4 linked regions of the Rhinolophus ferrumequinum genome follow. The protein of the gene in region 2 purifies or fractionates together with the protein of the main gene of each other region. This does not show direct contact. Links are inferred from orthologs where the notes say so. Each region holds a gene or a part of one and is shown on either strand. Other genes may lie near its edges. The genes, in order: CKS2, CCNA2, SCAPER and RBL2.

What was found.
Region 1: the proteins of CCNA2 (region 2) and CKS2 purify together in Homo sapiens (affinity purification with mass spectrometry; 3 studies listed by BioGRID and IntAct, counting the BioPlex papers as one, with this or other methods). This does not show direct contact. The link is inferred for Rhinolophus ferrumequinum from reciprocal best matches to the Homo sapiens genes CCNA2 and CKS2.
Region 3: the proteins of CCNA2 (region 2) and SCAPER purify together in Homo sapiens (affinity purification with mass spectrometry; 3 studies listed by BioGRID and IntAct, counting the BioPlex papers as one, with this or other methods). This does not show direct contact. The link is inferred for Rhinolophus ferrumequinum from reciprocal best matches to the Homo sapiens genes CCNA2 and SCAPER.
Region 4: the proteins of CCNA2 (region 2) and RBL2 purify together in Homo sapiens (affinity purification with mass spectrometry; 3 studies listed by BioGRID and IntAct, counting the BioPlex papers as one, with this or other methods). This does not show direct contact. The link is inferred for Rhinolophus ferrumequinum from reciprocal best matches to the Homo sapiens genes CCNA2 and RBL2.

What each region holds. Positions count from the first base shown.
Region 1 is NC_046295.1:4,649,345-4,657,429, reverse strand, and holds the start of CKS2 (cyclin-dependent kinases regulatory subunit 2), read left to right. Parts: upstream 1-4,582; 5' UTR 4,583-4,736; coding exon 4,737-4,795; intron 4,796-8,085. UniProt on the Homo sapiens protein: Binds to the catalytic subunit of the cyclin dependent kinases and is essential for their biological function.
Region 2 is NC_046301.1:4,678,769-4,686,321, reverse strand, and holds the start of CCNA2 (cyclin-A2), read left to right. Parts: upstream 1-4,233; 5' UTR 4,234-4,500; coding exon 4,501-4,701; intron 4,702-5,490; coding exon 5,491-5,734; intron 5,735-7,016; coding exon 7,017-7,129; intron 7,130-7,329; coding exon 7,330-7,553. Other genes in the region: BBS7 (Bardet-Biedl syndrome 7 protein), read left to right, coding at 1-30, 162-285, 2,229-2,362. UniProt on the Homo sapiens protein: Cyclin which controls both the G1/S and the G2/M transition phases of the cell cycle. Functions through the formation of specific serine/threonine protein kinase holoenzyme complexes with the cyclin-dependent protein kinases CDK1 or CDK2.
Region 3 is NC_046311.1:38,995-47,471, forward strand, and holds the start of SCAPER (S phase cyclin A-associated protein in the endoplasmic reticulum), read left to right. Parts: upstream 1-5,381; 5' UTR 5,382-5,475; intron 5,476-8,477. UniProt on the Homo sapiens protein: CCNA2/CDK2 regulatory protein that transiently maintains CCNA2 in the cytoplasm.
Region 4 is NC_046298.1:7,167,320-7,174,999, forward strand, and holds the start of RBL2 (retinoblastoma-like protein 2), read left to right. Parts: upstream 1-4,240; 5' UTR 4,241-4,360; coding exon 4,361-4,600; intron 4,601-6,703; coding exon 6,704-6,834; intron 6,835-7,680. UniProt on the Homo sapiens protein: Key regulator of entry into cell division. Directly involved in heterochromatin formation by maintaining overall chromatin structure and, in particular, that of constitutive heterochromatin by stabilizing histone methylation.

The sequences.
Region 1 (8,085 bases), on a different chromosome or scaffold from region 2:
CTACCTGGGGAGGAGTAAGAGGCAGGGCTTCATGTGAACTGAGGCTTCCAACCCTCAGTACAGGCTCCCTTGTGCCATTTACAAACAGAGCAACTTCACTTACAAAACACAAATTTAAAGATTAAATTGTTAAGAATTTCCAGACATGACAGCAGAGCTTTAAATCCCAAGTGCAGGGTCCTATGTGATTGTACTCACTTTTTAAATCAGCATTATTCTTGCCTAATAGAATAAACTTCATAAAACTTGAAAGTTTGGTAAAATTCTTCTATAAAGCCATTTGGGTCTAGTGTCTTCTTTAGGAGAAGACTTTTAATTACTGCTCCAATTTAATAGATATAGGATTCTTCAGTCTTCTTGTGGTTTCTTGAGCCAGTACAGGAAGACAGTAAAGGCAAAGCACATGAAGGAAAAACAGAGAGACCAAGCAGAAAATAGTAAAATGGCAGACTTAAAGCCTAACATCAATAATTACATTGTGTAAATGGTCTCAAACACCAATTTAAAAACAAAGATTGGAAAAATGGATAAAAAATTTTTACCTAACTATATAATGCCTACAAAAAATTCACTTCAAATATAATGATATAGGTAGGTTAAAGGTAAAATGATGTAAAAAGCTATAGGACACAAAGCCCAATCAAAAGTATGGTGGAATAGCTATATTAATATCAGAGTAGACTTCAAGGCAAAGAAAATTACCAGGACAAATTGGGACATTACATAATGATAAAATATCTATTCACCATGAAGACCTAGCAACCTTACATGCATCGAGTAACAGAGCTACAGAATCCATGAAGCAAAAACTGACAGAACTAAAAGGAGAAGCAGTGTAGGGACTAAGCCCTATGGTACTCTCACATTTATAATAATCAGTTAGAGACCAGGATGGGCCAGTACAGGCATAAGGGACAATCTTGAACATCCTTTCAACAGAACACTAAAGACCTCGTAAGAGCTATGAAATGGCCATTCATGTCAGTGGAATCCCAGAAGGAGAGTGAAAAAGCAAGCTGTAGAATATTTTATAAAGTAAGAATATGCATATATTCTAGTTCTGAGAGTGATACATCTGAATTAGGTATAGGAAAAAGTCTACGTAAATAATATACCATATTGTTTTCAGTGGTTAAATCTGTGATCTGGGGTTGTTGGGTAAGAAGCAAGTAGGCATCTTACTTCTGATATTGTAAATTTCTTTTAAATTTTGTAAGAATAATTTTTATTTCTGTAATTTTCAAACATAAATTGAATATAACATACTAGGAAGAGTGCTCAATAAGTATTTGCTGAATGAGTGAATATGGACCAACTACGGCAATTTTGCAAATGAATTTTGTCACTGCACTAATGGCCTGTTAGTGGGGTAGGAAAGTTCTAGATACTTGTTGGAGATCCATGATAACTCGAGCATGCTCTAATCTTACCAGTTGCCTTTTTACCATGTAAACACCAATCAAAACCTAAACTTCCTGTTTGAAAGGAAGCAGGGCTTGTTTGAAAGACCCACTTCAAAAAAAGCAGAAATCCAATCCCTGTTGGTTCTAGCTTTGAAATTGCAAGTCTGTCCCTTCCTACTCAAACTCATCCTATCAACAGTAATAACTTTGTAACAGGGTGTCCCTGTTAAGGACATTCCTTCCAGTCTATCCTCCACATTCCTCTCATTACCTTTGTCACATCTGATCTGACTGTGCCACTTCCTTGCTGAAAACATTAGCTGGCCCTACGTTAATAAAAATGACCAAATTTCTTAGCAAAAAATCCCTCCCCAGTCTGGCCCAATCCATTATATTGGTTTCCTATTGCTGTTTTGACAAATTACCACAAACTTAGTGGCTTAAAGCAAACACAAATTTATCATCCAATATTTCCAGAGGTCAGAAGTCTGAAATACGTCTTAAACAGGCTAAAATTTAGATGTTAGCAGAGAGGTGTCCTTTCTGGAGACTAGAGGACATCTATCCATTCCTTGCTTTTTCCAGCTTCTAGAGGCTATCTACATTCCTAGGTTCCTGGTGATGCCTCTCTGACTTCTTGTTACAGCTTTCTCTGACCCTCTTGTCTCCCTCTTATAAGGACCCTTGTAATACCATTGGGCCCTCCCAATAATCCAGTATAATCTATCTCAAGATCCTTAACTTAATCACATCTGCAAAGTCCCTTTTGATGTGAATACATTTGTAGGTTCCAGGGATTAGGATGTGGACATCTTTGGGGGCCATTTTTTTGCTTACCACATTCATCCTCCCAGATTTAATTCCCACAACTTTCCTTTCCATGACCTCTATACTCTAAACCAACCCCATTTAGCATTCTGTGCATATAGGAAGTTTCCTCACGCCTTCACCATGACAATCCTTCTATTGGAAAGGCAAGAGGTAGTGTATGATAGATTAAGAGGCCTAAGTCTGGAGTCAGACTGGGCTCATATCTGAGTCTGCCACTTACTTGCTAAATGGATTTGGACAAACTTTTGCTGTTGTTTGACCCTAGATCTAAATACCAGATTATAGGAAAAACAAAGTAAATTATACCATAGGAAGCAATTACCCAAATCCAGACTGTGGAATGTTCCACAGGCAAAAATGACCTGGTTTTTCTGATAAACCTATATTTAAAAAAGGTGGTCTGTCAGCAGAGGAGATTGTATAAAAACTTAAAGAGACAATAACCAAATTCGATGTGTAGGCCCAAGTTTGGATGCGGATCCAAACCAACCAACTATAAAAAAGGCATCTGTGAATCAGGGAAATCAATCTAAAACAGGTGTCAGAGAATGATGAAGAATTATTAAGTGTAATGACATGGTACTAAATGTATATTTTAAATTTTTTCTTGAGATGTACACCATAAAGACAGATATATATACAGAAGTATTATTTCAGAGTAAAATGGCATTATATTTGGGATATCTTTAAAGTTATTCTAGCAAAAAAAAAAAAAGAGAGAGGAATAGATAAAACAAGATGGGCAAAACGTTTATTGCTGAAGTTGAGTGACTGGTACATGGGAGTTGATTATACTATTGTATTTTTGTGTGTTTGAAATTTTCCACAATACATCTCTGTAAAAATACAGAGGGTGCCAAAAAATGTATACACATTTTAAGAAAGGAAAAAAACTATTAAAATTGTAATACTCGATGTATGCTGGTAACAAAAAATGAATACAAGTTATGTGTATATATATTTTTTGGCACCCCTGGTGTATGTCCTAGGAAACTTTTTTCCCAGGTTCTGCCAGACAGTTAGTGATTTCCTTATCCATCTACCTTAGCAGTTTATTCGTATTTTTACCAGCACATAATCACACCTGATTATTTGGGCATACATTACTATCACTTACTACTTAAAACTTATTGCTCATCATGTGCAAGAGACTCTACTATGTCCTGGGTAGAGCAGTGAATGAAAGACATGCCCTCATCACCGGGTTATGTAGGGGGGGCAGACAAAACCCCAGCAAGCATGCAACAAAGGACCAGTGGGTTGGAAACTCCAAAGACGCTAAGGAGGGACAGGAACGGGGAAAGCGGGGACTTCTTGAGCACAGGGTATAAGGAAGCCGTTTCAGGAGACTGATCCTTAACCTGAGAGCTGAAGGTGAAGGGCCACCGGGTGTTGGGTTGGGGGAGGGTAGCGGGCCCGTCTATGCTCTCACCTGTACTATGCTGCAACTAACACTGAATCAAGATCGTTACTACAAACATAACACATTCTCATTTAGGGAAATGTGAAAAATACAAAAAAGGTCACTTTTAATTGTCATCTAAAAAGAACCACTTACATCTTGGCATATTTCCTTCCAGTAACTTTATTTTACATGTGCATGTATTTTAAACTAGGGCTCAATACTAAGAGCCAAAAAGTTTTAAAAACCACTTTTAATCCCTTTGTCCGGTAGGAAACGTTATTATTTTAATAATCGTTTTTACATTTTGCATTAAGAAAAGCACGCGTATACACATGCTTATCTAGAGTTGTTATGAATTATGCTCAAGGCGTGGGAATACATGTTTTACCTCACGTCAGGCCTCTAGTGCTCAGCCCCGGCCCTATCGTTCACGCAGCACTCTTGCAGGGTTCTGAAGAGTTCCAGGCGGAACAACCTCGGCTTCCTCACGTTCCTACTCTCCCCAAAAAGCTGGGTGCCCTCAAAGTTCCCAAACCTTGGCTTTCCCTATCTTCTACAGACCTAGGACGCGGAACCCGGGAAATGCGCCCCGAGCCTGCGCCTGCGCACAAGCGGCCTCGCGGCGGGCAGCCCCGCCCTGGCATCGCCAAACACCGCGATATCTCATCCGTCCCACAAGTTCGTCGCCCTAACGGCTCTGCAGACCTGGAAAGTTCTAAACCCCCTGCACCCTTTCCTGGTCACGCCCCTTACGTCAGAGAGCTCCCCGCCTCCACGCCATGCCAATCATTCACTTCTTCCCTCGGGCAACCTCGCAACAAGCCACTGAGTGGCTGATCTTGGGAGTGAACGTCGCGGAGCAGCGGCAACGATAGGCTGGAAGCCGGCCCCGCCTTCCCGCAGTTTGCACAAAAGGTGATTGGTCGGCTTCTTTGTCCAATCAGCGGCGGGCTGTCGGATTCAAACCAGGATCGTTAGGCCTGCGGTCTGTTGGTTGCAGTTGAGTCGTTGCTTTGGCCGGACGCACACCTTCCCTCAGCTGCGCCCGCTCTTCCTGCCCGGTCGCTCCCCTTCCGCGCCGCCTACCTGCCGGCAGGATGGCCCACAAGCAGATCTACTACTCAGACAAGTACTTCGACGAGCACTACGAGTACCGGTAAGTGGGCCAGTGGGCGGGCTTCCTCAGCCGCTGCCCAGGGAGGGCCGGTGTTCGTGTGGGGGCCGGAGGTCGGGTCAAGGTCGAGGCCGGGAGTTGGAGTAGGGGCCTTGTGAGGATGGAAGCGTGTCGGGTTGTGGTCGGGGCCAGAGCGCGCCCCTTATTTCGCCTTTACGGGCACAGCCAGCCTCCCCTCTTTGTTCCGTCTGTGAGAAGGATGAGGCAGGGGCGGAGATGGGGGCCACTTCTGGTGACGAGTTGCTACCTTAAAGGGAACAGGCGGAAGGACCGAAGCGGACCCGGGTCCTCCGCCACGTCCAGTCGTCACTCGGGCTCTGGGCGGGCCAGTGGCCGACATCCAGCGGCGAGAGCCCTACTCCACCCGTGCCGCGGTGCCTAAGAACTTGCGAGCTAGTTGGCATTCTCGAAGTAGTTCCTCTCTCCCAGTCACTGTGGTGTGGAGGGTGGGAGAAACACTTTTTCTCCTTGCTTTTGAAGTTAGTGATGCTAAAAATGACTTTGAGGGGGAAACCCCGAAAACTTCGCTTTTTGGAATTTTTAAATGTTTATTGCGTATGGTGATTTGGGTAGGCGTTTGTGCGTTAACCATGATGACTTAAGGGCATTATCAAAGGGGTTTCACATTTAAGACTAAGTTGAGAACTCGTGTGGACTTTGGGCATTTGTGTGTGTGTGTGTGTGTGTGTCTCAGTATATACTGGCCAGATCTTCGCTTTGAGGAATTTTTGGTTTCTGAGTCGTGATGTGCTGCACTAGAACGTAGTTGCTAAAATTAATCTGTAAAATTAACAACTTGGATTGTGGGAGGGAAGGACCACTTCGTTTATTGGCCTTATTGTCTGCAGGAGACTTCCTTGGGGCGTGGCTTCAAAGACCAATCCTACCCTGTTCTCCTGGATGGTGACTAGGAAGCTGCATTTGGGGCCAAGCAGTGACCTTGTTTCTGCCTGCTGTCCTTTCAAGTTAGATTTCCAAGAATGCTATTTGAGGTAGAAAGGGCATAGTGTTTGCTCACTCTCTCTCTCTCCCTCTCTCTTCTTGTTGTATTGGAAGTCTGTATTCTCAGGAGAAAAACTGATGCAGTTTTACAGATTAGTAATACGTGCATTGTTTCATATTCTTAGCTAGAAAAATCTTGTTTTTCTGGATATAGATAAATTTGAAGTCGATCATCTTATTTTTATATAGTAACTACATGGTACAGTTTCAATCCTGTAATATATTGGCATAATGTTCAATTATGTGACATCGACCAAGAGCCCAGCTGGGGATATCCAATAGTGGACAGAATGTAAACTGTATTACGTTTCTAAAATATGGAAAAAATATTAATATTCTGAAACACATCTGGCTCTAGTAGATTAGGATACTTTTTAGGACTTCTGGCAGTTTCATTTTTTATTGTCAATATACTAACAATTATCGATGAGCACTTAAGTAGACTGCGCTGTCAAAATTTTAGCCTAACTGGTTTGTGTATACTAATGTGTAGAAGAAAATCCTGTCGTATCTGAAGTGATATATTCTAATCTATTATTAATTAAAGATAATGGTCCTTCTTGACCAAGCCACTTGCCTTACAGAAACAGCACAGTGATTAATCTCCAGAGATACTTTTAAAGGCAAGTTGATACTGATAATAAATCACTGAGGTGTGAGTCTAGGGTGGTTTGTATATGGTGGTGCAACATGCAATGTGAATTTCAAAAGTATTTATTTTTGCTAGTGTGCAGTTGCCTACATCTTTGTGTTTTGTAAATGCAAACTTAATTTCCTATTCCCTTTACTTAGGTTATTTTGTAAATGAACTTCAAAACTTAGTTCTGTTAAATACCGTCTGAAACAAGTATTATAGGGTTGTATGGATTTAAATTTATAAAAATTTTATGTTAGTATTTTTTTTTAAAAAAATCCTATCCACAACTGTTGTCTGCCCTCCTAATTGCATCTTTGTTGTAGCTCCTTTATATTGGCCTATATGTAGCTGTTTATATTGGCCTTTACCCTCCTCCCCTCCGTGACAAGCCCATGGTACTGAAATAAACACTTAGTTTTGGAAATAATTTTTCTTACATGTAGTTAGAAAACTATCTCCATGCAGTTAAATACAGGTAGAATTTCTATGTGAGCTTGAAGCTACTTATAAATTTTTCTTTTATAATCAAACTTGGATGAAGGTGAGCCTGTTCCCATGCTTTATGGAGAAGGTAGGGGTTGTGACTTCTATCTAAATAACATGTTGGTGCATTTATGTAGGTATACATAATAGTACAAGTTTAGTTAGCATTACATTTCTCTTTGAGACTAATCAACAATGTGATAGAAGTAAGATTATAGGTTATTTGCAGAGCCTTAAAAGGAGATGTTAAAGCAGCAATCCAAGAACGAATAAGGTAGCTGGTAAGTATTACTAAGAATCACCATGCAGTTCACTGGAATTGGTGAAATTTTAACCAGGATAGTATGCATAATTTGACTTGGCCTCATGGCAATCTACTTGCATAGCACAATTCTTCTAAGGTTTATTTTTGTTCTACATAAAATTGATACTTAACTAACCAGCCACAGATTGGCTTAGTTGCTGACAGATGAGTACTTACAATGGGTTCACTTTTCCTGTGTGCCAGAAAATAACCAGTTATACCTTTCTCACTTCTAGCCAACTGACTCACAGGTAGATATCCTATACTGGTCAAAAAAATTGGTTGAATATGTATGACTGTACAAAATTAGTACTACCTGGAAATGGTAAAAATAGGGCTGGGAGTTGTGATTTTTATAAAGATCTTTATATGTAATAAGGGGTGTACGGATTTGTCTTTGAGAATGTAACAAAGCTACAATTGTACATATTCTTGATGTTTTGACATTGAAGACTATCGCATACCTTCCTCAAAAAACTTAAGTTTTGGGTATAGGTCTAACTTAACTGGAAAACTAAAGGTCTGTGTCAGGTAGCAGGTACATATATATGTGTGATTAGTGTTTGTTTTTTATTCATTCTGAACAGAGTATAAAGCAACTTCTGCAGTATACAAGTAGATACAAGATTTGTATCTACTACAAATCTACAATGTTGAGTAATAGGAAACCCTAATTAACTAAAAAATTAGATATTTTTTTTCTCCTTATGTAAAAGGCTACATGAAGCTGGGATGACAGGTCTATAATCAGGGACTATCCTCAATTTACAATAGCTTCTGTGGTCTTGGATGGCTTCTCTAGCTCCCTGATCAGGTCATTCTGCTTCATAATCAACAGGAAGGAGA
Region 2 (7,553 bases):
AAGAAAGTTCAGTTAATTGATGCTTTAAAAGTAAGTATATGTGTCATGGACTCATGATCATTATTTTATTGTGATGGGATTTCTAAAATTTTAAAGACTTTAAAGTTATACTGGATTGAATTTTGAGCATTAAATTGCTTCTGTTTTTAATTTTAAACAAGGAATTGCAGGTTCATGAGGGAAATACAAACTTTCTGATACCAGAATATCGCTGTATTTTAGAAGAGGCAGATCACCTACAGGAAGAATACAAAAAGCAACCTGCACATCTTGAAAGACTCTATGGTTAGTGTACTATTCTAGAATACCTTGCCATATTTCTTTCTTACTGGCTGTTTGTAAAGGATCATGTGAGAGAAGTTGGGCAGAGGAGACAGGCAAAGATTACAGCATCATGAACCTGTGACAGCCAATTTGTTGCTTAGAATATGTATTTTGTCAAGTTAGTTTTAATATTTAGTAGCTTTATTTGTTAAAATGCAAGTAAAATTAAGTGAAATAAGTATAATGCAGTGTGGGGTTATATACATGAAGAAACCTGGTGTGAAATGACTATAATCTATGAAGCATTAAAATTTAGGCTATATTTTACACAAATAATTTTTAGGTTTTTTTGCTATTGTGAAATATCAAAATGCAGCATTTAATATATTTTTAGGCAAAATTTAATAAGGGATATATATATACCATGTCAGTTTACAGTCCAAAACTCATTTTGTGGGGTGGCTGGTTAGCTCAGTTGGTTAGAGCATGGTGCTGATAACACCAAGGTTGCTGGTTCGGTCCCTGCATGGGCTGCTGTGAGCTGCACCCTCCTTTAAAAAAAAAAGCAAAAAAACGAAAAACTCATTTTGCTTTGGTGGTAGAAGTTGGGTATTTCACAAATTATACTGAAAAAGAACGAGAGCAAGAGGAAAGGAAGGACCAGCTTAAGAAAAACTTTATTTTTTGCAATCTTTACATAAGACCTACTGTACATAGCACACTTGTTTATTTATAACATCTTCATAATCAGGTGGGATACTTAATCCTTAAAAAAAGCTCTGCAAGGTAGATGGTGTTACCTCCATTTTTTACACTTTTTAACTGAAATCTGAGAGTAAAGAATTTGTTGTCGCATAGATAAGTAGAGGCAAAGCCTGCAGAACCTCCTCACCCCAAAATGCGTGCTTTTTGCACTATGTCAAGTCTTCTATAGAGTCAATTAGTGTCATCAATCTACATTTATCCTTAAGCCTACCTGATGAATTTCTTTTATTACATCGAGGGACTTGCTCACAAACTGTAATAATAATATCTAATATCTTAGTATTTACTATATGGAAAGCACATGGTTTTTTATCCTTATAGCAGCCTAGAAGATGGGTGGTGCAGACCCACTGTCTCTTATCACCACTTCCAAAATCCAGAAAACTTTGAAAAACAAAGCTGTTTTTCGTAAATCACTTGGCTTGATAAGTGAGTCATAAATCAAATCTGACTTGATCTGAATTAATTTAATGACAAAATCTCACTTAAACTGACATGAAATTATTTATAGTCTTTTTTATTCCACTTAGTGGGATTGTTTATGCATATATTTTGTTGCAGAAACATTACTATGTTTTGTTATCAAATGCTGTCATTCACTCCCCTTCAGAATTATACCATATGTGCTATATTCTTTTTATTATCTTCCTAAACTGAAAAACTCTGAAACATACCTCCCACCCAGGGTTTTGGGTAAATGGATTGACAGCTTGAATCGTTTCCATTGTACATATGAGAGAACTTAAAGGTGAAATAATTTGCCCAGATCTTTGAACCTAGGAAGTCAAATCCCAAGAATGGTCAACATATTGATGGAATATTTTAATATAAATAAACTTGTGAAGAACAGAATTTCTACAGTATGTTGAAATGGTCAGCTTGATGGATAAAACAAACCTTTTGCTGTGATGTTAAATACACCGAGAGCAGTTCAAGACTGGACAGTGTTTGTCTGAATTAATAGCTTGTAACCAATTGTTAAGAGGGTTATTAGCCAACTGATTTATATTTTGAAACTTGCCTTTAAAATTCTCCCAAAATAAATATTTTTTAAAGCATCAATCCTTTCAGGTTTGTGTATAAATAATGGAATTACAGGTGCTTAGAAATAGAGTCTCAAGCAATCATTCACTTTTATTAAGTACTATGTCATTAATTAGAACTAATCAATGACAGGAAATTAACATTTTTTTTTATAGGCATGATCACCGATCTCTTCATAGATAAGTTCAAGTTTAAAGGCACCAATGTGAAAACCAAAGTTCCTCTTTTACTGGAGATTCTGGACAGTTATGACCAAAATGCATTGATTGCTTTCTTTGATGCTGCATGAAATATAAACCAGGTAAAGTTCCAGAGAAGTTGTCTGTTTAAAAGTAAAAGCTAACTATATATACTTTCATTTCAAATATTTTTAAATATTTTCTAAAAATATTTGAGATACAACTTTTTTTTAGTAATGCTATTTCTTTTGACAAATGCAACTTTTTAAAAATAGAGAGCATTTTTATTTTTAAAATACAAGTGGAATGATTATAAGGTATCCTAATGAATTTTTTGCAAGTGAATGTTTTAACTTTTATGATGATAAATAATATTTGGAAAATAAAAATACATTCAAATATTTCACAAGCTCTACCCACACATTATATATATATAAACTGCTTTACAGTTTTCAAAATGTATTTGCATTCGTTTACCTCTTTTGATCTTAACTGTATTATTTTGTCAAATAAGAAAACTGATTCTCACTGAGGTTAAGTGAAGAAGACTGCTCTTATTTTGTAAAGCTGGGACGAGAACCCACATACTAGTGCCTGGTTTGTGTCCTGGTTACCATATATGCTATCAGCCAGTGGAAATAACCTACCAGTTATTTTTCCTAGGAGTAGAGATTGACTTGCAGTTGATTTCACTCTTGCTTGGTAATGAGCATCGTGACCAGTGCTCAGTTTGTAAGGTGCTTAAGTTGGCTCAATGCTATTAATTGTGGTCAAAGAAACAAGCAGAGCTCGCACCGATTGGGGGTGAGGGGGACTTGAATTCCATGTGCTGTAACAAATAGAGCTAGACCAGTGTGCATGTGAATAGTGCACAAATAGTGATGGCTTCTTAGATTTTCCTGCACTACTATCCACTCATTTCCTTTTTATCATGTATGAAAGGAAGTATGACTTTAAGGCTACAGAAGTGTTATTCATTAATCTTAATTCATGTTTATTCATACTCAGAGGAATATTGTATTCAAAGTTTACTTTAAAATGGCATAAAGATTATAATGGAAAATCAGCTATTCTCTATGTTTTTAAGAAGGACACACTCATGAATTTGTCAGAAAACAATCGTGCTTAATTATATACCATTATATTTATTAGTTATGTACAGCCTTGAATATTAAATGTGAAAATCTGTTAAAGGCACTTATCACTAAGAGTTTTATTTTAATAAGGTCACATATTCTACTATATTCAAACAACCTTTTCTAAATGGAACACATAAATATGTCACTAGAATTTCACTGGTGCTTTTTGTTGGCTGCTACATCGTGGGTTAAAATAGATCAGAACTGATGACTAGTTGAATTTCTTGTAGTAATTACTATTTGTTATATGTATCAACAGTAGTTCACGGTGGCACCTCAAATTAATTGCATCTTCATTAGGAACAATAAAAAAGCATCTAAATGGTAGATGACATAATCTGCCATGTATTACATGTTATTACATGAGCAGCGTGTTAAATAATTTATGCATATAATTTAATCCTAACGACAACAGTATGACGTGTAGATATTAACAATGAGCAGATAAGAAAACAGATTCGGAGACATTGAATAACCTTGACCAAGACTACCAGACCAGTTAGATTTTACACTTTGGGAATCAAGTCAGTCAAAGCCTGGAGGTCCCTGGGCTAAAGGCTGGGGCGGCCCACCAATCACGGCTCAGGTTTCACTGGTTAATCCTAGGGGCAGCCCTGAGCCCAGGGACCGCCCCGTGGCTTCATTTAAAGTCACGGTAAAGCCAGGCCCCGCCTCCCGCCCGGCGCAGGCGTTTTTCCTCCCGCCGCCGTCCGACATTGCCCCGCCCAGCCCCTGCTCGGTCGCCTGCGCGGCCGCCTTCACTCGCTTGCGACGCGTCGCCCCGAGTGACGTCACGGGCCCCCGGCCTTGATCATTGGCTCATTTCAATAGTCGCGGGATACTTGAACTGCATGAACAGCCGCCTCTCCGGCGGGCTGCTCGCTTGGTCTCGGTGGTGTCCTAGGCTCTCCACGCCCGGCGGTGCCAGCCTGCGCCTTTCATAGCCTCCTCGGTTCTCAGCGATCCGAGTGGGTGGGTGCGCGGGCGGGCTGGCCCGGGCTGCGGCAGGCGGCTACGGCTGGAGCACTGCTTGGCGCGGCCGGACGGCGGTACCGAGTGCACGCTGCTTGGCGCTGCAGGCTGATCCCGCCGTGTCCTTGGGAGCAGTGATGTTGGGCACTTCTGCGGCCCGCGAGGCGGGCTCGGCGCTGCTAACATTGCAGCAGACGGCGCCCCAAGAGGACCAGGAGAACATCAACCCCGAGAAGGCGTCGCCCGCCCAGCAGCCCCGCACCCGGGCCGGGCTGGCTGTACTGAAGGCCGGGAACCAGCGGGGTCCGGCGCCGCCGCAGAAACCGAAGACGAGACGGGTAAAGAGAAGAGCGATATCTGCAGGAGGGTGGGCCGAGGGTTAGTTTTGCAAAGGTTTAGCGGGCAGAGGAGAGGGGCGAGAGCATCCTCTGGGCTTTTTGTTAGGGAGGCCTGGGCCTGCAATCCCCTCGATCTCTGGTTTTGTGGCGTGTGGGATGCCACCGGCGTAGTTCTCCCATTACTTTCCTGGCCATCAACTGCATTGTGCTGCCTGTCTACTCTCGATTGGGGGTATTTTTCTGTAGATAATGGGGTCAAACCAAGCTCTACAGCATGACTGTGGTCTTTGCCCGCCTCCGTGCCTTTCTCATAGTTTTTAAACCCCCGGCTGGCTCTAGGACCTGGACCTGCTGCCGCCTTCCCACGCGGCTAAGAGGTTACTTCTACCTTAGAAAAGGATATAATAAATACTCTGTTTTTGCTAAATTCCGCCATTTTACCCGATTTGCTCTGTTGCTCCACCCTGGGGTGAAAGTGGTGAAGCAACGCATTTTTGCCATCTCTTTCCTAAACTTGTCACCTTTCAGCCACTCCACCCCTCTTGTGGCCTTGATTAGTTTCTCATAATTCCACTTGGTATGACGCTCTATAACCTTTGCATAAATGCCTGTGACACATTGGAACATTCCTTTTCTTCGACTATTCGAAGTTCGTTGCCTGGATTTTGCCGCAGTAACTTTAATTTTCCTGATAGAGTAGTTGGGAGTAAAGCAGAGGCTGAGACCCAGAAGGGGAAGAAAGCAAAACTTCATTTAATAGGCTGAAAATCAGTATCCGTTTCTTTTTAGGCTGCACCTCTTAAGGATCTTCCTGTAAATGATGAGCATATTATTGTTCCTCCCTGGAAAGCAAACAGTCAACAGCCTGCATTTACCATCCATGTGGATGAAGCAGAAGAAGAGACTCAAAAGAGGCCAGGTGAATCTAAAAAAACAGAGTGTGAAGATGTCCTGGCGTTTAATTCAGCTCTTACTTTACCTGAACCAAGAAAACCACTGGTACCTCTTGATTACCCCATGATGGGCAGTTTTGGTAAGTTTTAATGAACATCTGTATCAAATCGATGTAATCATAATTATTAGATAAGTTGGGTTAATGATATTTCGCATTTTAAGGCATCTTACCTGACCCTTACTACATGAGTTAGGCTTAATGTCACAAGTTTAGAAAGGGTGTTTTATCTCAGACCTCACAACTAGTACATGACCTAGTGACCTACAAAAAAGAAATAAAATCCTAATTGACCAGTGTTCCTTCCAGTACACTGCCAGTCTCATCAATTTAATTAGAGCTCATTGATTTTAATCTGACCCTGGAAATGTTTGCTCTGTTGGGAGAATAGATTTCAATTGTATTCATCAGATTCACTTTGTTCATACCACTTCAGAGATGGGTATGCAGCTTTCCATATTGTGATATCTACTAACATCTCTTGAGCTTTAAAGTTTTGTTTTGTGAAAGCATATGAGCGATCCTGTGATACCAGAGAGGAACACTGTCCTGTGAGTCAGCAGCTGAACCGTGGCTCTTTGTCTTAACCACACATCAGAGTAGCTGCTTTCGACAGTTGTGCCTGCAGTTTGTGCTGCTGCCTAACCATAGGGCTCGAGTCCCTGGACAGCTCACTGAATCTAGTCTTTTAGTTTTATTGATGAGTGGGGGTCTGGGAGGAGCAGGAAAGTCTTTCGGAATTCAAAGAATTTGTGTATTTTTATTTAAAATTTGCAACAAATTTTAGCCTCAAAGTGAACCTTGAAGTGAAAAGAAGAATAGATCTTCTTTGCTTCAAAAGATAACTTAAAATTACAAAAGTGAATCACTTGTTGATTACAGTGTTAATTTGTTTATAGTGCCCATAATAAACCTAAAAACCGAATTTTCTCATTAATACACTTGTTAGCCCTGCTTCCACTTAATTTGTAGGTTGTGCTTTGAATATGTCGAGCTTTGGGATCTGCAAATTCTTAGGGCAAATCCTATGTTATCTCAAAACCTGGACTTTAACTCTGTCCTAACGGAACCATCATGTCACCTGTTCTTGTCTCATGGAAGTTGAATGATACTTCAACATACATAATACATGATCCTCACATTTATTTACCTGTTTGTGGCCTATCAGTATTTTTTCTTGTTAGATAAAGCTAAGTAGACAGAGATACTAAAACCGGAGTGAAATAAATATTCTTTGTACTTTGTCATGGGAAGCCCTTTTTCATCACGTGAAATATATGCTTTCGTGGTGTGGGACTTCCTACAAGGGCAGTGACTTTTTAAATTAAACAGTGAACTTAATCGTACTTTTGAATTCTCCCAGAGTCACCACATGCTATGGACATGTCAATTGTACTGGAAGATGAAAAGCCAGTGAGTGTTAATGAAGTACCAGATTACCACGAGGACATTCACACATACCTCAGGGAAATGGAGGTAAAGGCTCTCTGAATCCACTTTTCATACTGTTAATCAATGTCATGAAATGAAATTGAGAGGGAAATGCTTTGAAGTTTTTTAACTGCCAATGAATTGCTCTAATGCAATACTTAGGTTTCTAGCATATAGCAGCATAGTTAATGATAGAATAATCTAACTGAAATGTTTAAATCTATGCTAAGTAACTTTCTCAACAGATTAAATGTAAGCCTAAAGTGGGTTACATGAAGAAACAGCCAGACATCACCAACAGTATGAGGGCTATCCTCGTGGACTGGTTAGTTGAAGTAGGAGAAGAATATAAACTCCAGAATGAGACGCTGCATTTGGCTGTGAACTACATCGATAGGTTCCTTTCATCCATGTCTGTGTTGAGAGGAAAACTTCAGCTTGTGGGCACTGCTGCTATGCTGTTGGCCTC
Region 3 (8,477 bases), on a different chromosome or scaffold from region 2:
CTAAAGATTAAGTGTCATGATAGTTCCATCCTCAAATAGAAACCATCCTCTACACCCGGCAATTCACATTTATGGCCCTAAGCCACTTACACCCATCTCTGGCACTAAAGGCAGCCAAATGAACAAGTATTAGAGTGCCTTTTCTGACTTGCTCCCTATATCATTAGGGTGACCATACATCTTGGTTGACCTGGCGTACTTATTAATCACTTCCCTTTCACTCTCAAAAGTAACCCAGAATGGGATGATAAATTATAATGTTACCTTACTTTTGGGCCTCACACTCAACACTGACCAGCCCCCTCTTTGCCCCCCTCTCCAAGACCCATGCTTTACTAAGCCTCAGAATCCTTTCCCACACTCTTTTCCCCAGCTTATTAACAATAGGTCCTTGAAGTCTTAGTCAAACACTTTAACAGTAAAAATAAAGACTAGAAATGAGGACGGGATAAAACTTTGCTAAAGGCAATGAGAGAAGGAGCAAAATGAGGAGTAAGACTGTGGACTAAGCAAGAGTTTCCTATAAATTAAATGAAATTAATGTTCTTTTGGCATTACTAAACCAGCTCTGAAGACACTTTTGTGAGAGGACATCCAAAACTGATATGAGCAGAGTGACTTCTTTGAAAGAGAATACTTCCTAAATGTATACATTCTGGAGTGTTTGTGGGAACAAAACTCAGGATTGCCTTATAGACACACTGTGCTTTCAGTCCTTACATGTTCTTAGATACAAGTGACAAAGAGAAAACACAGTTCCTATCATTGCAATTCCACCACAAGATGATGTTCAGGGACTTGTAGTTATTTAGGCTCTGTTTTTTTGCTTTCAGTATCCAACTTAGGTATGGGGGCTTGTAAGGTTGGTTTCTGTTTGTTTGTCTTTATTTATTTATTTTTTTAAAGGTTTGCAGTACCATATAGTGCAAAGACAGAGTCACACAAATAATGCGTGATGCTTGTTGTTTTTTTTTTTTAAGGCAAGTTGGTATTTACAAATAAGAAAAAAGAAAAGTCAGATCCCATTCTTATCAATAACTGCTATTAACATTGGTGTTTCTTTCCAGAGTTTTCTGTATGCATTATACAGGTTACCCCTGTATAACACGGTTGTTAGGTTCCTAAAATGCCATATTATGCGAATCCGTGTTATACAAAACAGAGAACTAATTCAAAAACGGGAGTTTCCAAAAATTAAAAAAACATATTATTATGTTTTTTATAATTAAGAGACATATCTTTATTGAAGCAATTTTCACCAAAACCATAACATATTAATATGTATTAAGTAATGTTTTTTTGTCATCACTACTAAGCTTTTATTACGTTCCGTGTTGTTTGGGGATTTCCCTAATTTCAAATGTGATATCTTCTGCTCTTAAAAGCTCTTACTACACTCCATGTTGTTCGGGAATTTCTCTAATTCTCAAACCATGGTAGAGTGAAACTGTGTTGTAGAATGCCGTATTGTACAAGGGTTTCCCTCAATTCTCGAACCATGTTAGAGCGAAAACGGGTTATAGAAGTGCCATGTAACCTGTATGGGGGTTACCTGTATATCCTTGTTAAGGCAGATATGTCTTATGCAAAAATAGGATACAAAAGAAGCTTCTTCTATCAATCAAATAGCTGAAGAAAGCAGAGTTGAGTAAAACAAGCTACACCTTGGGGTCTCCTCCAAAACATGACTCCTGGTCTCTAGTCTCACAGTTTACACATGATACCCAAAATGAGAGGCATCTCACATACTCTGGCTAAATGAACACCCACCTGACACTCACTTAATAGGAGAGTGGAATTGAAACACAAATGTACAGGGGAGAAAGGAAGATATGGTTGTATCTGTTACTTATTCTAGTAGAGAGCTCAAACCTCAGACTTCTGCTGCCCATGTCTTCTTCTGAAGAGTTCCCACCCATGTGCACTGGGAAAAAAAAAATCTGTATTCTGAAGTTCTGGATTGCACTTTTCTATATATGTAAATTAGGTAACATTTGTTCACTGTGTAGTATGGATCTTTTATATCTAAATGGCTATTTTATCTGTTTGTTTTATCATTTACTAAGAGTTATATTTTATAATATCCTATTATGGTTGTATATTTCTTTAATTTTGTCGACTGTTGTCATAAATGTTTTGAGGCTATTTTATTGAGGACATACAGATTTGTGACTTTTGTATCTTCCTGGTGGACTGATATTTTAACATTATAAAATGTTATCTTTACTTTTTTAAAAAAAGCATTTCATTGTAGAAACTACCTTATGTCAACTATAATTAAAAAAAATAGTCACAGGATGTTAAGTACAGCAAAGGGAATATAGTCAATAATATTGTAATAACTGTGTACATTGTCAGCTACGTAATGGACTTTTTGGGGTGATCACTTTGTGATGTATGTAACTGTTGAATCACTATGTTGTTTTGTACACCTAAATCTAATATAATACTGTGTATCAATGGTAACTGAAAACTAAATTTTTAACAATTAAAAGAAAAAAGCCAACTACCTTGTTTAATGCTAGCATAACTGCATCAGGGTTCTTTCACTTACTGTTTGTAGCTATACATTTTTCTATACACTTACTTTCAGTCTCACTGTTTTCATATTTATGGTGTATTTCTTGAAAGCAGCACATAATTGAAGTTTTACACTTAGTCTTAAAATCTTTACCTTCTAATTGGAGTATTTATTCCATTTTTACTCAATATAGTGACTGAGAGATTTGATTTTAAACACATCATCTTATGATTTCTTTTCTATCTGTCCAATACATTCTACGTTCCTTCTTCTCTCTATTCTTGCCTTTTTATAATTATTACTTTTCTTTTTATTGTTCTGTTCTTTCCTCTATTAGCTTGCAAATTTCAACATACATTTTTGATTTATGAAACTGTCTCTAATGTAAATTAATGTACCACCTCCTGAACAGTGTGAAGATCTTAGAACACTTTACTTAAATTTACTACCCACCACATGCCTTACTGATTTGTTGTCATATATTATAATTCTTTCTATAAAATTAGCTCTATAAGATATTAGTATCTTTATTTCCTAAATCAATATTTGTTTATAATTACCCACATATTTACCCTAGCAAGTTTCTGTAGGACAGTCACAGTGCAGACTCCTTGGGTACTAGAGAATGAAGCCATGACATCTGTCACAGAGAAATTTATTTGGAAATAGAGTTAAACTCTATTGTAACCATTTGAAAAGCACCTGCAGGTGGACTGCTGTGCCTTGGTAAAGAATGAACATCTGACTATGATGACAATTTGTGAGGATGGCCAAGTGACTGTTCATGAGTAAGGTGTTTCTTTTTGGGGTGATGAAATGTTCAAAACTTGATAGCAGTGATAGTTGCACAACTCTTTGAATGTACCAAAAATCACTTAAGTGTACACTTGAATTGGGTGAATTGTATGGTATGTAAATTATATCTCAATAGAATTGTTTTATATGTATGTAAGAAAGATAATGACTGTTTTTACGTTGGTCCTATGATTTTGAGAGGTTCAAGTGGAGACAACCATTTGAATCTGGAGCTCAGAGCTGGAATCAGGGCTGGAGATATATACTGGGAAATATAAAGCACAAAGATGCTGTCTAAAGTTATATAAAAGGAAGCAATCTCCCCAAAACAGTGTGTGCAGTGGGAAAAGAGAGGGCTTGCGTCTCTCCCTGAGGGACAACAACATTTCAAGGGTGGGAGAAATAAGAGGTGACTTCAAAAGAGATGAAGAGGGAGTGATGGGAGATGGGAGACCAAGGAAGTGAAAATTGAAGGCAAAGAAAGAGTGTTTCCAGGTGGCAAGTGTGTCAACCAATTCAGAGAAATTAACTTAGGTCATAATGATGATATCCACAGGATCTGCACTGGGGATATCCGTAGTGACTTTGGAAAGAATGGTATCCAAGTGGTGGTGGGGCAGAAATGTGGTATCCACGTGGTGGTGCTTATCATATATTATGTAATTTATTTGTTACATTCAGTATTTATCGTCTGTCACCACCCTGTTCCAAGAACACAGGAATTTTTATCTAGTTTATTTACTAACTCCAAGTATCTAGAACAGTGTCTGATATGTGGTCTAAGTATTGTGAAAAAAATTACTGAAAGAACAAGTTTTCTAAGCAGGTAAGAGGGGAGAGGAGCCAGAACACAGCCAACAATATGGTTCTGACTTGTCAACCCCGAGAATGTACCTACCAGAAAGGACCCCTGTGGTTAATCGGCCTCAAATTCATAACTAGAACCTAGCAGACGTTGTTTGCAGAGGTCCCTCAGGCTGCTTGCCTTTCAACGAAAAGCCTCAGGCTGAGACTTTCTAAGTCTTGCATTGTGCTCCTGCCTGTCGCTGAGTCCATTCTTTATAAGGGTGTGCCTAAGATCTCAATTCCACCAATAGGACTGAGACTTTCCCCATCCAACCAGAGCTGTGCAGCTATAGCCTCATTTGCATCCTCACCGACCAATCAGAGAGGCTCCATTCTGACCAATGAGGAACCATTTGCATAGAAATGGACGGATCAGGTGAAAGGCCCAGCACTCTTCTCTACATAAGGGCGCTTCACCTCTGCCTCAGCTGAGCACACTTTCAGTGTCCATGGAAGAGTACCATGACGAGGCTGGAGCTGCAACACCACACCGAGGCCTCCTCACCTGGGCTGCCTCGACCAGTAAAGTCTCTCACCTCACCTTAAGTTGGTGACTCTTGTTGGCATTGAGTTGGTGACAGGACCTTCAGTTGACAGTCTCCATATTCTGTGAGGTACCCTCCATTGGATTCCATGACTTCCCCTCCCACCTACTGTGGTTGACAAGGGAGAGGGCAGGGTGAAGAGTGAGCTCACCAGCTGGGTGAGAATGGTGGGGAATGTTCTTGTGATAATTATGGTCTAGGTTGAGTCTCTTTCCTCTTTTGTTCAGAACTGTGTCTTAAGTATCGTTATGGCATTCCGTTCGTGTAGTGTGTCTCTTAAGTAGAGAAAAGACATTTACTGGGTCTCTACTCTGAGCCCTCCAAGCCTGGCACACAAGAGGGGCCGAATAAAGCTTTATGGCCGAGGGGCGGGTGTGATTGGCGTAGTCCTACGGGGTTTTTTGAGGCGCTTCCACAGGTCCAGGTGTTTGTGAGGCGGACCTCTTGGTCCTTCAACTGTGGGACTAACTGTGGTGACACGAAAGGCAGAGGGAAGGCACCGAATATGAGATAGCGGGCTGTGTGGCAAAAGGCGGCAGTGCCAGCGCAGCCTAGGAAAGAGAACAGCTTTCCAGAAGCAGCTGCACGAGCCTCCCGTCTCCGCGGCCCCGGTCGCGAACAGGGCTGCGCCTGCGCGCGTGCGGCCGGAGCGCGGGGCCGCCAGCGGCGTCGCGCAGCGCGGCTGGGGTCACGTGGTTCGCCGGCAGCCGCCCCGCCTCTTTCCCGGCGGGACGCTCGGGACCGCCCGAGCTGCGCAGGGCGGCCGGGGTGAGTGTCCGCGAGGGGCGCGCGTCTTGCAGACCGGGCGGGCCTGGGCGGGGACGCCAGGCGGCGGAATGCCTTGCGGGCCCACGGGGATAAAATGGCTGCGGGGTACGCCCTTTCACCCTCTCCCCTCACCTGGGAGTGTGGGCGGCGAGGGACCTGAATCGCCGCTGGGGGAGGGGAGCCGCGGCCGCTGGCGAGGGCCCGGGGGTCCTCTGAAGAGGCCGCGGACCGGGGGTGAGCAGGCGCCAGCCGGGCTGTGAGGGCCAAGGGGTGGGCGCGGTCTGCCTCGCCCCTCAGAGGGCGACCCCGGCAGCGCGCGTGGACGCTTAGGGAATGTCCAAAGTGCGAGGGCTTTCCGGGGGAGCCTCCCTGCCGGCCCCTCACCTGACAGGTGATTAGCCCGTCAGCTTGTTCTCAGCGGGCTTGACCGCGCTTTCCCTCCATCTGCCCGGGACACGACAGGAATGGTGTCTCCATGTACACACGGGGAAACAGGCCTGCAGGGGTGAGGAGCCGAAGCCAGGCCTCGCACCTCTGTCAGTGCTCCCTTCCCGGCGCCTCATTCGCGCCTTTCCCCGCCGGGGAGTGACGGGAACGATAGAATGCAGGCGGCAAACTGGTCCGCGAGCAGCACCTGCTGCTGTCAAGTGGCTCCGTTGGGGTGGGGCCGCCTGCCTCAGAGCAGCGTCCTATAGCTGGTGGACTGTATTCCTCGTTCTGTTTGTGCCGAGTTATTCCCCGTGAAAATAGCTCTTCAGTCTAGTCATCTTACTGAACGGTAATTCCTTATGAATTATAGTTTGCTGTAGTTTTCCAACATCAATTATTTCATGCTCAAACAATCCGAGGTAGAAGGATGGGGTGGGTATTATGCCCTTTTTATGAATGAGGGAACTGAGGCTGAAAGACGTTATTACGTGTTCCCGGTCACTTGCTGGTAAATGGCAGATATGCGATTAAGCTTCCGGACGTAAGGCTGGCAGTCTGCCCATTATCCCACTCTCGTTTATATTGGTGTTCTGGGTCTTGTATTTTCTTCCGTTAACTATGACTTTTCCCAAAAATGTGTTGGGTGCAGATCGATTTATGCACCATGTTGAAATGCTCTGAATAATTTCAAGTAAGGAATTAATATTTTACTTAATCAAAGAGCAGATTTTTAATATGATTTGGAAAGTTGTCTTTGTGGGAGGAAGTATGATATGATGACTTTGAAAGCAGATGTGAGTTTGATCTGAGTTTGAATCCCGGCTCTATTACTTATCCAGTGGCCGACTACTTAGTTTTTGTGGGCCTTTGTTTCCTCGTCTGTAAAATAGGGAAAATATCCTCCTCATAAATTTGGTGACACTAAGAAAATGAGGTGTCTGTAAAGCATTTAGAACTGCTTCTGGCCCATAGTAATCTCTCGGCAAATGGTGGCTTTTTGCCTTCTTTTTCCCCGTTCCCTTGAGCTGCAATTTTTTAATTTTCTATAGTTAACCAGTTGGTGGTTTAGGTCACTCTACCTGATGAATTATGCACGGAGGCATCATTAGTGTTACTTTATAAATGCATTTATAAATAACTTTGGTGACTTGGGGTCCAAAGGATAGTGTTTTAAACATAGACTTTACAAATATTTGTCCTAGGGCTTCACAGATTCTTAACCAATAAAAGTTTGATTTGATATTAACTTGATTAATACCTTAATTTAACCACTTTACAGGAATGTCGTAAAGCTAAGTCATTAAGGGGCTTGAGAGTCTGTCTTTCACATTCATACTCAACCACAGTCCAACCTAGTGTTAAAGTAGAAGAAAAAATTCTTTGGGAATCACATGTGAAGATTCTTTAAACACTAATAGAAAGTGGTGGTGGCATTTAGTGGGAAGTTAAACAGAATTCTCTAATGGTTCAATCTGATATCCACTGTGAGATTGGCATTTCTTTGTAGAAGTCAAAACTGCAAATGGTTTGTATACCAAAAATTAAAGTAAGTCATTAATAAAAATCTGTTTCCAGTTTCATGTTGGAATGGTAACCTTTTCCACAAACATGTTTTGCTTTGGCAGTAGGTTTTATGAAACATAAGCAAAGATCTGCTTTCCGTTGGTGGAGCCAACCTTAAATTATTAGAAGGAAATGGTTTATAGAAAGACTTTTTCCTCTGTGTCATGAAACACTAAGGATTTCAGGAAGCTTTGATAAAATTATTAACTACTTTTTAATGACAACTTCTTAAAGTACTAAGTTCATTATATATTTTGAGAAGATAGGTAAAATAGAGAATAAAATTAATTGCTGTGTGACAATCTATTTTAGCGGTTACCTATGCCTGGGCAATTTTGTCCTATGAAAGCTCCCTCTCCATTGTTTTGAAGCAAATCTCAGACATAACATTTAATTTTCAGTAGGTGGTAGGCCTGCTTTTAATATAGTATTGGAAAAGCAGGGTAGTTCTTGTATTTTCCAAGAGGCATACCAGGTTCATGGGAGAAAATAAATGCTTCTTGGTTGATATATTCATGGTAGTCTGTATAGGAGTGATCAGAATTGACAACCTCATTAAACAAGTTGGAATTATAAAATGTCCATTTTGCTTTTCAAAATACTTATTTTTACCGTAGTACACTTATTTTCCACTTAGCAAAGACATTAAAAATTACTGATAATTTTTGTTTTAAGTACCAGGCTCAAAGTTAAATACTTAGATTTTCTTATATTTCAGAAAATGCAAAAACACAAGTGATAGATTCGTGAACATTGGAGAGGAACTGTGATTGCAAACCCTAATTTTTCTAGATTTCATTGGTAATCATGAGAACAATTCATAGATGTGCTGTCCTGGCTTCAGTTAGATGGCCTGCATATTTTACAGTAACACTAGTGTAGTAGCAGGCCTCTCACTGTATTGCGCCTATCATTTACTTCTTGCCCTTTCAGAACCTGTGTACCCAAACTTGAATAAAGAAAAGAGGCAGGCCTTTCCTGGTACTTGAGCCAATCTTCACATTCCTATC
Region 4 (7,680 bases), on a different chromosome or scaffold from region 2:
TTACACCCTACTAAGAGTGCACAAGTGTTTTCTTTTCTCCACATCCTCACCAACACTTGTTATCGCTTGTATTTTTTGTAAGAGCCATTCTAACTGGTGTGAGGTGATACGTCACTGTAGTTTTGATTTGCATTTCCCTGATGATTAATAATGTTGAGCACCTTTTCATTCATATGTTGGCTGTAGTATGTCTTCTTTGGAAAAATGTTTATTCAGAATGCACATTTTACAATCAGGTTGTTTTGCTTAATTTTGTTCTATTGAGTTGTATGAATTTTTTGTATATTTTGTATATTAACCCCTTATCAGATACATGATTTGCAAATATTTTCTCCCATGCTGTATGTTGCCTTTTCATTTTGTTGATAGTTTTCTTTGCTGTACAGAAAATTTTTAGTTTGATATAGTCCAAGTTGTTCATTTTAGCTTTTGTTACCTTTGCTTTTGGTGTCAAATCCAAAAATTAATTGCCAAGACTGATGTCAAGGAGCTTGCCACCTATGCTCTGGGACTTGTATGGTTTCAGGTCTTATGTTCAAGTTTTTAATCCATTTTGAGTTGATTTTTGTGTATGGTGCATGATAAGGGTCCGGCTTCATTCTTTTGCATGTGGCTGTCCAGTTTTCCCAACACCATTTATGGAAGACTGTCTTTTCCCCATTGTATATTCTTGGCTTCTTTCTTGTAAATTAATTGGCCATATGTGTATGGGTTTATGTCCTCTCTATTATGTTGCAGTGATCTATTTGTCTTGTTTTTAATGCCAATACCATACTGTTTTGATTATTATATCTTTGTAATATAGTTTCAAACCAGGAAGTGTGATGCCTCCAGCTTTGTTCTTCTTTCTCAAGATTGCTTTGGCTATTCAGGGTCTTTTGTGGTCAATATTGATTTCATGGACTCAATCATTAATGTCCATGCCCTTCATTCCAAGCAAGGCCCTTCTCACAGCCGATGGGGCCTTGACACACATTTCCCACCACCGCAGATACTTAGTTTGCAAGTTCCCCTAAAAAGAGAAGGGAGAAAAGGGGCTACCAACAAACAGGTCATATGGTGACCCCAGTCTAAAGAAACATCTTATAGCCTGAATGCAAGAAGGAAAAGAAAATGGACAAAAATGTTTTAAAATGTAGCAATAAAAAGCAGTTGAGGGTGTGTAGCCCAATATCTACTGTCATAGGCCGTAATTGTTTATGACAGAAAAGGCTCTAAGGGCATGTTGTTTTTATTCCAGAGTACCAAGGCTTCCCTATGTGTTAAGTAAAGCTAATTGTTTGTAGTTTATACTGTGGGTTGAATTTTTAGCACAACGGATTCTCATTCAAAATAAGCAGAGCTGGTAGGAGGGGTCGACCTGCGGGGCTCATAGTGTCAGGCCATATTGGACAAGAATAGCTGAGTGGAATTAATCACAAAATGACGGTTAACTCAGGTCTCAACAAGAGACTTAAAATACCAGGTAAAATGTAACTTGGCCTCAGCCCTGCTTGGGTAGATAGCATCCTCAAGTGGAAATTCAAAACAAATGAACAGTTTTTGCTAGTAGCAACACATGTAAAAATATATTTATGGGAGACCCATATAGTATTGTAAACTCAGTTGAAACCACATTCTCAATAATAGCCATTTGATAACTCAGTCTGGAAGGAATTGAACACTGCCTAATGATCACAGGGAAATAAATTTAAATTTCAATGTGTCTGGGAATGCAAGATGATAGACCCACTTTCAAAGAAATTTGGCAGTGTCTTATAAAGTTCAACATTTACCACACAACCAGCAATGCCAATCCGTCTTAGCCGGTTTGGGCGCCTTCTCTGCGTGCCCATGGTGGCCCTTTCTCAGTCCCTGAGTGTGGCCTTCTAAGGCCACCAATCCTATTGGATTAGAGCCCCACACTTATGACCTCATTTAACTTCAGTTACCTACTAAAAGTCCTATCGCTGAATGCAGTCACACTGGGGGGTAGTTTTAACATGAATTTTGGAGGGACACACATTGGGCCCATAGCACACTCCTAGGTATTTACCCAAGAGTAATGAAAATTTCTGTCATGAAAACATGCACATGAATGTTAAAGGAGCTTTTCTCATAATCACCAAACACTGGAAACAATCCAGATGTTTTCAACAATCTTTAGGGGCTTTAAAAAAAGAAAATCCAATAATTACTTAAAGGCTCAAATAAAATTTAAACTTAGGAAAGAACTAGAAATTAGGAGCGACACCGACAATGAACTTTGCCAGAAAGGCCCTTGCTATTATCCTTATTTTTTTAGATAAAAACCAACTGTTGAATGGATAAGTGTTGGGACATTCATATAAATATGATTTGCCAATAGAAAGGAACAACTGACACAAGCAACTTGGATGGATCTGAAAGGCATTATGCCAAGTTGAAAAAAGCTAGAATCAAAGGCTACATAGTGTATGATTACATTGTATGACATTTTGGAAAAGAGGGAAAACTATGGGGACAGAAAACTGATCAGTGATTGCCTGGGGATGTGTGAGGAGGGTTTACTACAAAAGGGCACTAGGAAAATTTTAGGGTGATGGAAATGTTCTATATCTTGATTGACTATATTAATTTTGACTATTGGTCAAAATTCATAGAACTGGACGCTTAAAAGAGTGAATTTTACCATATGCAGATTAATATCAGTGAGTTTTACAAAAGAACAAACAGAAGGATACTTTGTACATACATTTTTGATGAAAGGAAATATGAAAGATCAAGAAAGGACTTTCAAGGACAAAAGATTAGGATACAATTTTGTTAGGATAGAACAGGAGTGTGAGGTAAAGGAGAAAAAGGAATGATATCAAATTGCTCATTGTTAAACGAAAGTTTTGTAAATGTACTTTTTAAATGCATTATAGTATCAAAGTGCTATGACATTTAGAGTCCATTGGCTTGGAAAATATTGATAGTGACAAGCAAAGAATATTTTAATAAGACATTTGATGGTTTATGACCAATTTTACTTCAATTACATTAATTACATTAAATTTTACTAAAAAGGGTAGAGTTTTACCTCAATAAAGAATTTAAATTTTGGGCCAGCCCGGTGGCTCGGGGTTAGAGCTCCATGCTCCTATCTCCAAAGGCTGCCGGTTTGATTCCCACATGGGCCAGTGGGCTCTCAACCACAAGGTTGCCAGTTCAATTCCTCGAAAAGAATTTAAGTTTTACTTCTAGTAAAATGTTGATGATGGTATCCAAAATAAGCGATATGTCATTCTTTAAAAGTTTAGTATCCCCAGCCCAAATATAAGGAAAGTAGCAAAATTTCTTATCAACGTATTTACAAATACTTATAAAGCAGTTGTGTCCCACCTCTGTTCTTGCCCTTGATCATCTTAACTCAGCACTGAGAAAACAAATCCAACTCTACCGTGAATTTCAAGGCAGGGTGTACAAATAGGATTTCATCGTCTCAAAATTGTTCGTGAGGCATCTGTTACCTTTCCTTAGTTCCTTCTCTCCTACCTCCAAGTTTCCTCCCCCTCTTCTCTCCTGCTCCTATTAAAGCTTCCCTAAACTGCTTTTGTCCCAGTATTTCTTTTCCTCGGTTTACATAGTATCCCACTGAGCAATGACTTACGGCTTATCAAGCATGAAAATGTTTTATAATATGCCCATTTATAAATCTTAGAGGATTGGCAATAAAGTGATTCAAGTCTATAGATATGAAAATAAAGCAAAACAAAAATAAAGCAATAAAGTTAAGCCAACTGGGTGACTGAGGATAGTACACTCAATGTCACGGTGAACGTATATTGGCCCTATTGGGGGAGGGCTTTTAAAAAAGAAAATCCAATAATTACTTAAAGGCTCAAATAAAATTTAAACTTAGGAAAGAACTAGAAATTAGGGTAGACACCGACAATGAACTTTGCCAGAAAGGCCCTTGCTATTAACCTTATTTCTTTGATAAAAACACCAAGGTGATGAGTATTCTTTCTGGGGACACCTTGGATATTAAACCTTCACGTGTCAATTAACGTTTCTTGGACGTTTTCTCTTCAGTAGAGTCCTGCTGAGTGGTCTCAGGATGGGGAGGTACTTAAAATGTAGAAAAGCCGCTTTTATTTCATCCCAAAGAATACTACGAAAGCAGATTTTTTTTGGGGGGGGGTGGGGAATGATTTTTGACCCCCTTGGCTCTCCGGCCCAGACTACGTTTCCCAGCAGGCCATGCTCAGAACTACGGGTGCCTACGTGAAGTCAAGCGCCGTTAGCGGCGGCGCAGTCGCCGCATAAGTGGCCGACGGGCGGGCGCTTCGCGGTTTGAATGGCTACGGGCCCGGGCCCTCAGCTCACCTGAGGACCGGCCGCCCAGCGGTGCGCGATGCCATCGGGAGGCGACCAGTCGCCGCCGCCGCCGCCACCCCCTCCGGCGGCGGGAGCCTCGGAAGAGGAGGAGGACGACGACGGCGATGCTGAAGACGCCGCGCAGCCGGCCCGGTCGCCGACTCCTCAGACCCAGCAGCGGTTCCACGAGCTATGCAGCCGCCTCAACATGGACGAGGCGGCGCGGGCCGAGGCCTGGGACAGCTACCGGAGCATGAGCGAGAGCTACACGCTGGAGGTGAGCCCCGGGGAGGAGGCGAGGGGCTTTCCGGGCCTAGTCGCCGTGCTCGCCGCGAGAACGGGGCCCCCTTCTTACCCCGGGTCGGGCTCCTCGCCGGGACTCTCCGGCGGGTCCCTGGTCTCCGGGTCTCCAAACTGGAGACGGATGGGAATCCTCCCTGTGCACCTTAGTCGTGGAAACCTGGCGATTGAAAGGCTCTTGGTGTTCCCAAAGGGGAACCCTGTCTTGCTGTTCTTCCCTTTCGGGTTGCGAATGGGGAACACCTCTTGCCCTAACGTAGCACCGCGAGGGTTACAAAAGGACAACTACCTGGTCGGCAGAACGAACAGGTGCACTTGTCAAGCCCGGGCGGAGAAGGGACGGACGTTGTCGGTGTCCGCACCGAGATTAACCCTTTAGGGTTTCTAGCCTTCCCCTTCTGCTCTTTTTCTCCTGCACCGCATCGCCTTAGTCCAGGCGTTGCATCTGTTTGTTTGAGGAAACGCGTTAAGTTTCCGCCTGGGTTCGCGTATGTGTCAACGGGAGAAATCTCCGGGGCGAAGGAAACGGGCTTTCTGCCTCCCTGGGTGTAGACACACGCCCCCATTTGTCACTAGGAAATGAGGACGGCGACGACCTTGAGCACCTTTCGGTCCCCCAGACAGACATTGCACAGGACTCTCGTAGTCGCTGTGATGTAGGCATGTTATGGCCCTTTCTTCAGACGGGGCTTGCAGATGAGAAAAATGGTCTTGCTAGCCAGTGAGACTCAACTCTGTAGGCACCTCCCCTTTATGGGCCAATGGGAAGTGACACGGAAGTCTGGATTGTTTATCAGCTGTTTCATTGCGTGTGTGTGTGTGGCGTTCAAACCGGAAGCCACATGATTTTCTTAGGTTGTTATACGGGTTGTGGAAAGAGTAGGGCAGATAGGCTCAGAATGGGACGGCCTAATCAAGGTATTTATAATAGGATAGTTCTGCCTTTGTGTCACTAAGGTTATTTTTATTTATTTTTGCCTTAATAGGATTTTCATTCATTTCCTTCTCCCTATTGTTGTATCTACACAAGAAGAAACAAAAGCTAGTAATGTAGTAGCTTTAGAGCCTTAAGTGACTTTGGACAATTTACTTAACTACCCCCAAACTCAATTCTGTGATATGTAAATTTGAGAGATTTGTATCTACCTCACAGAGCCGTCTGAAGGTTAAATAAGGTAATATGTAGTTTCTGGCACATAAAGCACTCAGGGACAGTGCTGTCCAGTCTGCAAAGCTCTTTCATGTACTTAGGTGATCTGGCTGAATAGGCCATGTTCCTATTTATTTCTCAGTGGTTCCTGTGGTCAGGAAAAGAGAAGGACTCTTTTTTTGGTGATGGGCATTAAGTGCCTCCAAATAAGCTCTTACTTTACCCTCAGGATAATCCTGTAAATTAGGTAGAACAAGCGTTATCTCCATACGGTTGAGGTATTTCAACTCATAGAGGTTAAAGTCCTATGAAGTCCAGTGTTATATAAGCAAGTGACAAATAATAGATGCTTCGTAAATAATTTTTGAAAACATGTTTGATCACTCAATTTCTGGCCTGTGGAGCTTATAGTTGGGTACGCTATAAGATAATATTATATCAGATTACTGTATTACATAATATATTACATATTACAGAATACTGGTTACAGAGTTTTATCTTTTGATTTCTTGTATTGTCTTTGCTTCATACTTGTAACTCATTCAATTCTCACAGTCCTCAGATAAGAAAATTGAGCTTCTGTGACTGTTAAGTCATTTGCTCAAGGTATTCTACTCCCATATTGGGACTCCCAAAGCCCAGGTCCTGTGAGAGAGTCAAGTGGAATCTGTATTGCCTTTTATGATCTCGGGAAGTTACATAGCATCACTTTCGCCTGTGCTATTGGTTGAGACAGTTCAAAATGAGGGAATAGAGACTCCTGCCTCTCAGTGGAAGAATGGCAGTCACATTAGAAGAGCACATGGGATAGGGCCATCATTAAAAATACAATTCCCCACACATATATAAATATTCCTTTCTATTTAAACATAAGATTTTTGTGTTGAAATATATATAGCTCATTAGCTAACCATCAATTTTCTTTTACAGGGAAATGATCTTCATTGGTTAGCATGTGCCTTGTATGTGGCTTGCAGAAAATCTGTGCCAACTGTAAGCAAAGGGACAGTTGAAGGAAACTATGTATCTTTAACGAGAATCCTGCGATGTTCAGAGCAGAGGTAACTATGTTAGAGTTTAAAAAGTAGAATGCGATTAATATAAAAGCCCATAGACCACAGTAAGAATTATCTTTGTTCATCATTTTCTGAGCATTTGTACTTATGGCGTGCTGAACTTTGACACTAAGTCATGGCTCTCCTTTACCACATCTCAGTTAGTATCCATTATGTTTTACTTATTTGGTGAAAAATACTTAAATTTTAATATATTAGGCACTTGTATGAAGAGTTTACTATTAAAGGTTGTGGCTCATCATTCTATAATATTGGAGAATTCTGAATAAGGATATTGAAAAACTTTAGGAAATGTTCTACATTGAAAAGATTAAAAAACTATTATATGGTATTAAATTTAGAACTACACGCACAGGACTTGTATCTTAATATATATGGAATGTGTAAATACTTCTAAGTTTCCTGTTTGGGGTATAAGCAACACTATTATAATCAGTTACAGAAAGGGTCAAATAATGCTATAAAGAGGCAAAAATTGCTTTTACTATCTGTTGTGTAATTGAATTGATTACATTTATTATTTGTGACTTTTGGGTGAATTTTCTCTATGACTTATTAAAGATTGGTAGAAAAAAGATACTTGGCATTTTGCAGAATAAATACCACTGTCAAAATTTATGGACCTAATGGTTTAAAAAAAAATCACTTACTATTGAAATAATTAACAAGAGATATAATATTTAGCTGTAGTCTGTTTATTAACTTTGAACTCCATCCTGAGATATATTTAGGCTTAAGAACAAGAGGCAGTACATAAAGAGTAAAACACCTGGGCTGTAAACCTGGAGAAGTGGACTTAATAAGGTACAAAACTGTAATCATAATGGAGAA